2 linked regions of the Cricetulus griseus genome follow. The protein of the gene in region 1 purifies or fractionates together with the protein of each later gene. This does not show direct contact. Links are inferred from orthologs where the notes say so. Each region holds a gene or a part of one and is shown on either strand. Other genes may lie near its edges.

Region 1 (3,512 bases):
GTTTAGAATTCAGTTGCCTAGTCTTAGAACGGAGACTTTGAAGTTTCTCCTCAGCCATGTTGGCACTCTTAGGTATGCTGGGCCACAAACCTTAGGGTTAGTGGTCTTTTTGAGGGAGATGGCAAGAACCTCATCTTAGTCATTCTGATTCTCAGATACCAACTGGAACTAAAGGATGAATACATCGCTCGAACAAATAAACTACTGGAAGAAGAAAGGAAGACTAAAGGTGATATGGGTGGCTGCCTTGTTTTAATTTTGAAATAGGTTGCCTCCTAAGTTACATCTATTGTATATTTTAAATATAGCTTTCACTTTTTTTGTTTGTTTTTTTCGAGACAAGGTTTCCCTGTGGCTTTGGGGGCTGTCCTGGAACTAGCTCTTATAGACCAGGCTGGTCTCGAACTCACAGAGATCCATCTGCCTCTGCCTCCTGAGTGCTGGGATTAAAGGCGTGAGCCACCACCACCTGGCTCACTTTTTACAAAACATTTATTTACTGTTATTTGTCAGAGGGAGGGGTTTGTGTGCTATGTGAAGGTCAGAGGACTTATGAGACTTGGTCTTTTTCCTTCTACCATGTGGGTCCCTAGCATTGAAATTAATTTTCAGACTTAGGAGCAAGTATTTTTACCCACTGGTCCATTTCACTGGCTTTTAATTTATTTTTTAATATTTATTTATTTTTGTTTCATGTGTGTGGGTGTTTTGCCCGCACATATGCCTGTATGCCATGTGCATACAATGCCTGTGGAGGCCAATAGAGAGAGACAGATCCCCTGGAGCTGGAGTTACAGATTGTTAACTGCCATGTGGGTGCTGGGAATTGAGCCCAGATCTTCTGAAAGAACAGCCAGTGCTCTTAACCACTGAGCCATCTCTCCAGCCCCATTATAGGAAATTTTACTTTCTCTGTCCTCTATGACCAGGTTTCATAGTTCTCAAGTTTATATTGACCTCAGACACTGGAAGTTGAGTAAGTTTTCAATTTTCAGATATTTTACATTTTAATATATTTGTAGGAAATAGTGAAAAGAATATGAACTTTGGAAATTTCAAACACTTTTTGAAGTAAACCAGAGCTGCTTACTTGCTATTGACTAGATACCAACTATGTGGCTCCTTTTGCTCATGTCTTATAGAAGCAGATGCATCTCTTGTAGTTTAGCACTATTGTGTAGTTAAATTTATTGAATTTCCTTCTGATATTATCTGCATGGACTTTTGTGTTAAACAATGGACAAACTACAGAAGAAAAACAGACGTCTTTGCTTTTTAAGGAAAGTAGGCTCTGTTAGTAGGTCCATGTCCTTCCCAGATGGAATAGCTGGTTTGCATGTACTAGGAATTTCACCACATATATGACATGTGATTTGTCACATGTTGCGTAATGGGCCTTATTTCTTATTTGCTCACTCAGCTTTTGACTTATACACTTGTTGCTTTACTCTATGAAACAATGGTGATTAGGTCTCATAGAATGGCCACAAATTATTAAATGTCTCTTACGTTCAGTAGGAAATCACTATTTAACTGGTTCTTTTTTATTCCCTAGAAAAAACTATTCATTTGCAAGAGGAGCTCACAATTATTAATTCCAAAAAGGAGGAACTCAGTAAATCTGTAAATCGTATGAAAGAAGTTGAGGTAATTGTTAAACCCATTTTTTAAATTTCCTTAATGATGTTAGAGTTAATACTATTTATTATTTACAGAGAACATTGGGGTGTTTTGAGATTTATTTATTTTTATTTTATGTTTATGGGAATTTTGCCTGTGTATACAGTGCCTTTGGAGGGCAAGAGAGGGCATAAGATCCCCTGGAACTGGAGTTACAGAGAGTTCTTAGCTGTCATGTAGGTGCTGGGAATCAAACCCAGGTCCTTTGGAAGAACAGTCAGTGCTCGTAGCACTGGACTCTCTCTCCATCCCCTTAGGCCTTTCGAAGTGCTTGGGCTGATTACTTTATGATTAAGAAGGTGATACCTGAAGTTAGAATTCAGTAGGTTCTAATTTCAAGCAGAGGCACACAGAGACATAGAAAAAGAGCTTGAATCTAAGAGTCCTGCTGCTCAAATCATGTCTCCCTCCCTTACTGCTTATGTGCCTTTTGGCAAATTCTGTGAGTATAATCTTGGAGATATTTCTAACAATGCATGATTGTTGGGTGAGTTGGGTGAACTACCCATAACAGATGGCCAGTATATCTTAGCTTCTATCCTAGCCTGTTCTATTCCATTGGTAGCAATTAAAATTTTCTATCACTACATCATTCTCTTACAGATTTTTTTTAGACAAAGTAAGGTAAAGTTTTTACATGCCACTGGTACTATACTGCTTGTCATGTAATGGACAAAACTAGAACTTTAAGGTAATTAAAGGAGATTGTAGCTGGGTGTAGTGCTGTACACATTTTATCTTAGCACCCAGGATACAAGCAGATCTCTGAGTTCCAGGCCAAACAGAGCTAAGTGAGACCCTTTCTAAAACAAACTGAAGTATATACTATAGGTGGAATTTACTAGTTCAGCCAGGAGATCTGTGTAGACTTTCAGATTCAGATATGGGACATATAAGACTAAGAAAAGGAAAGCACCTCACAGCAATAGAGATTGTTTCCACCTTTTATCTGTTCATGTTTTTTAAATGTCTTGTTAAGTTGTGCAGTTGTATTGGTGACATTTGGGAATTGCATTCACCATACACTTTTTTTTTCACCATACACTCTTTACTTACTTCATAGGACAAAGGTCTATTGATATAGGTTCTGAGCTTGCCTTGGCTTATCACCAGTGCAGAGAGCCTGACCTCTGTCTGGTAGTCACTGTCATTTATTCATTTATGATGCTTAGATTCAGACAGCCTTCCTGCCTTTACCTTTGCAGTGCTGTGAAAGTTATTCAGATATAAGTTTTCCTTTTTCAATTTTAGCTGGAGCTAGAGTCTGTCAAAGCCCAGTTTTTGGCAATGTCAAAACAAAACCACTTGCTGAATGAAAAAATGAAAGAGATGAGTGATTACTCACTACTGAAAGAAGAGAAAGTGGAGCTTCAGGCACAAAATAAATTACTTAAACAGCAACTGGAAGAGAATAGGAATGAGAACTTACGTCTCCTAGACCGTATGTCTTTTTTTTTTTCTGATCTGCATGTTTCTGTAACTTACAGTAGGTCAGGATTATAGAACATCTTCCTATCTGTAAGGGGGGCTTACGTTGGGAGAATCTTAAGATCCTTATATTGCAGCTGCTTTCTTTTTGCTTGCTTTTGCATAATTCATAGTTTCATTCTAAGTAATATTTGTTAAATAACTGCCTCTATGGGTGGCTTCAGGGTTCATGCCCTCTGACTGTTGCCTCAGTTGAGCCAGGAAGCACTTGGAGCAAGGCAGGGAGAGGAAGTTGAAGTTGTAGTTATTTCTATTCTTAGTCTTGCTCACCAGGTACACCAGTCTGGACATACTGTGTCTCTCAGGCAAGAGAACCTGCAGTCCCTGCTGGGGGGCCTCCCACT
Region 2 (4,009 bases), on another chromosome or scaffold:
CCTCTAGAGTTTTGATTTTAAGTGTCTTCCTCCATTGCTTTCTACCTTTTATAATGTGGCAAAGTTTCTCACTTGAACTCAGAGCTTGTTGATTTGACTAGTCTAGTTAGACACGTTGCCCCAGGGAGCCTCTATCTCTGCCTCCCAAGTGCTAAGATGAGGGTAAACCTAAACCAGCATTTACCAGGCCAGCCTGGTCTCCAGAGCGAGTGCCGGTATAGGCTCCAAGGCTACACAGAGAAACCCTGTCTCGAAAAACCAAATAAATAAATAAATAAATAAATAAATAGGAACAAACCCAACCCGAGGAAGAACACACATGTATCTTCCTGAGGCAAATTTAATAACAAAAATGAATTGTACCAGTATGGTGGCACTCACTGGTAAAATCCCAGCACTCTCAGACAGAGGCAGGAAAACCGTTAGTTCAGAGCTATCCTGGGCTACAGAGTGAATGCCCAGATAGCCTGGACTACACAATATTTTTTTTAAGTCTATACTTCTTATCACATTTCACTTGCTTGAAAATATGCTCACTAGCATCAACTAATAGACTTCTACTATTGGGCTGTCCAGAATTTTAAGGGTCCAGTTTTAGAATCTAGGTCAAGATTGCTTCTTATTTAACAGTGTCTTTTGGCCTCCCTGGAGAGGCAGCTGTAGTCATACTGCCTCACGAGGTTTAAAAGTACTATTTCTTGTTCTTTTTTTCCTTTTTGTAATGCTACATCTTATTCCTTTATCAGTTATTTCCACAAATAGCCCGGGGACTCCACAGGTACTCAGTATTAACGCTGGCGTAGAGGGCGGGCTTTGAAGAGATATGAGTCTGGGTTTGGGTATCACCTCCACCTTCTGCAGGTGATCCTGACGAAAGCCTGCTCACCACTGACAACTCAAGTTTCCTCCTCTGTAAAATGGGCATCATTGACCTGAGGCGTGTAAAGGCTTCCTAGTGAGTGCCCTCCGCAAGGTGATTCTTGAGGTGCTTGCTATTCCTCAGACTAGCATCAGCCGACGTTCACAGCATCCGGGAACTTGACAGAGAAACCAACTCTTGGTCCTCGATTCATTAAGACCCAAGGGTGGGTCAGAGACGTCTTTGAGGTGAGTCGGCCCTGGTTCCGCCCCTTTCCCTATCAGGGCCCGCCTCACACGCTCGTTGATTGGTAGAGCCTCTGGTGACGGCTCACCAATCACCCGACCGCAGACTCAGAACCCGCAGAGGGTGCGCTTGGAGAGGTCCGAGCTCCTATTGGTTGGAGACCACACCGCAACGTCGCGCGTACGCACGCAGCACGCACAGCAGAGGCGTAAGGCCCGGGGCCGTTAAAAAATGGCGACCGTCACTGAGCTGAAAGCTGGTGAGTGCGCTGAGGAGGCGTTCGCTAGTGGGAAGCGCCCTGCCTTGCGTCTGTGACAGGGGTGGGACGGAAGGAGAGCGCGCGGACACCGACTCGGCTTTTCCCGGGGCCGTTCTGAGGTGGCCGCGCCCGAGAGCGAGCGCCCGCTGCGCATGCGCGGCGGGAGGGCCAGCCTGGAGATGGCCGGAAGGGACTGGAATCGTTAGTCCCCGAGAGGGCTGCAGGCCTGTCCTCCTGACGTCTGGGCGTCTTCAGAACCCTGGTTAGCCGACAGTGCCAAGGCTAGGTCTTGTGTTCAGGACTGAGCATGGCAACACCGCAGCCACACACGATTGGTGGCACAGTTCTCAACGATTGGTGGACAGGTCCTCCTTGTCCTGTGGGACAAACCTAAGGCAGAGTTGCCCATCCTGACGGTTCTATGGGATCTTTCGGGAAGAGTGAGTGTTTCCAAAGCAGTAACGTGCAGGGCCCTGGGTTCCATCCCGGGCACTGCAGAACAAAACAGAACAAAAGAGTAGCCATCAATAACACGTGCAGCTGTTAACTCTGAATAGTAACTGTAGTTAATGTTTGAGTCATAATTGTAGTTCGTTAAGATTCAGTGTGTGATTCTCTGTGTCAGACACAACTCATCCAACAACTACTTGATTCCTCGCAACAAACCCTCTTGTCCATTTCACACACCTGGAAGTTGAGGTGCCGAGAGGTGGGATATTTCACCCAAGATAATTTAGGTGGAAATAGACTGGTGTTGAAATCCTATAAGGTACATACAGTACTGCACCAGGTCTTAATCGCCATGCCATTCTGCTTCACAATGAATAAAGCCGTTTCTGAGTTTCAGAGACTAAATGAGTGGTAGTGAAAATTTTGGAGAGGACCAAGGAGAGTAGCTTGGAGACTATAATTTAGTAACCATTGACTAAATGTGTATTGGGAGCACTGTGCTGGTGAGCAATTAAAAAAAACAACAGGTATGTCTCAGTCCCCAGGAGGGACTTCCCTTGAATCAGTAGAGCACTTTTGGGGAGTGGGAGGGATACATTAACACTCATGATATTGTATAAACTTCGCATAGGATTTCAAGATATTTCGGTGGGAAATAAGTCAGAATAAGACCACTTCCTGAAGAAGTCTTTATGGTAACAGTGTTGTAAGCATAAAACCTCAAAGAGTAAAATGATTTAAAAAAAAAAAAAAACCAGAAAGTGAGAACCTGAAGGTTAGGAATGATCTCTATAGATTTAGGGGCCTCTTTACATGTTTTTCTATGTTCGTGGGCTCTTGATATGCTTTGTGTCCAAGAGAAATGTAATGAAAACTTGTTTTCTAATCAATAATCTTAACATTTTATGGGCCTTTTACTCACTTAAAATACTCTTCCATCTCACCTAGGTCTTTCTGAGAGGCAGGGTTCATTACCAAAGAAAAGGCCGCTGAGGCATCGTTAGGAATATGCCCACCAAGACATGAAGGACATGCCACCTTTCCCAATTGCAGCTTCATTACTTTTCATTTTCTGCTAAGGTTGAGGCTGTACTGTGTGTACTTCAGAGTAATTGGGACAGGATGCTTGCCAGTAGAAAAGAATCTCTCCATTTAATTTCCAAAGATGGAACTAGAGAACAAGGGTTGTGTTATGATCCTAAGAGTATGATAAAGCTTTCCTTTTATGGGTCTGTTACCAAGTGTAATTGGTTGACAACTGCAGTTAGTATACCTGCAGAAAGGTTGAAGGAATGAATGGATGCTTTAAAAACAAAGAAGAGAGATAAGTCTAGGAGTATATATCTTTAATCTTATGACCAAGGATGTTGTTATTTACCAAAGCTTAGGAACTTTGCTGTCTGTACCTAAGTGGATAAACTGTGTTATGAATTTTATTGTGGCATCTTAATAACGCTTTTGCCATTGGCAGAGCAAAATGCAGAGTTAAAACATACTTTTTTGCTGAGCAGTGGTGGCGATTAGCTTTAATCCCAGCACTCTGAAGGCAGATGAAGGTGGATCTCTGAGTTCCAGCCCATCCTGGTCTACAAAGTGAGTTCCAGGACAGCCAGCCAGGTCTGTTACACAGAGAAACCCTGTCGTGAAAAAAAAAAAAACAAAATAAACATTTCTTTTAACCAGTAGTATAAGGCACTGTTGGTGTTATACGTTTGTAACATTTAGTGAGCTCTTGCTGTATTCTAGAATTGCCATTTAGCCACAGAAGACTATTTGAAGAGGGAAGGTTCCAGATTACTATTAGGGGATGGTGACCTTTAAAAAATTGATTCTTTTAGATTTCATATCATGCATCCCAATCCAATTCATCTCCCCATCCCTTTATATCCACCCTCTGCCCTTGCAACCTCACCCCCCAATATAAAATGAAATTTAAAAGAAAATAAAAGCTAACATACCCCAAAAAGTTTCAGCATCCATGTTTACTTGTATGTGTTTATTGTAATGAGCTTTCTCTTTATACCAAGAGCTACATTTGTGTCGTTTTCTTCCCAAGCATTATTCCTTAGCGCATACCTGAAATTGCAACATTTAGTGTATAACAGAACCATTTATATTTCATATTTAACAGTTTTAAAGGACACCTTGGAAAAAAAGGGAGTGTTAGGACATTTAAAAGCAAGGATCCGTGCTGA

The links. The genes of interacting proteins can lie anywhere in the genome.
Region 2: the proteins of Ofd1 (region 1) and Cep20 purify together in Homo sapiens (co-immunoprecipitation; 3 studies listed by BioGRID and IntAct, with this or other methods). This does not show direct contact. The link is inferred for Cricetulus griseus from reciprocal best matches to the Homo sapiens genes OFD1 and CEP20.

Annotation. Positions count from the first base shown.
Region 1 is NC_048604.1:101,192,462-101,195,973, reverse strand, and holds part of Ofd1 (oral-facial-digital syndrome 1 protein), read left to right. Parts: intron 1-155; coding exon 156-229; intron 230-1,555; coding exon 1,556-1,647; intron 1,648-2,931; coding exon 2,932-3,121; intron 3,122-3,512. UniProt on the Homo sapiens protein: Component of the centrioles controlling mother and daughter centrioles length. Recruits to the centriole IFT88 and centriole distal appendage-specific proteins including CEP164. Involved in the biogenesis of the cilium, a centriole-associated function.
Region 2 is NW_023276807.1:75,497,021-75,501,029, reverse strand, and holds the start of Cep20 (centrosomal protein 20), read left to right. Parts: upstream 1-1,207; 5' UTR 1,208-1,336; coding exon 1,337-1,364; intron 1,365-1,498; exon of another isoform or gene 1,499-1,804; intron 1,805-3,945; coding exon 3,946-4,009. UniProt on the Homo sapiens protein: Involved in the biogenesis of cilia. Required for the recruitment of PLK1 to centrosomes and S phase progression.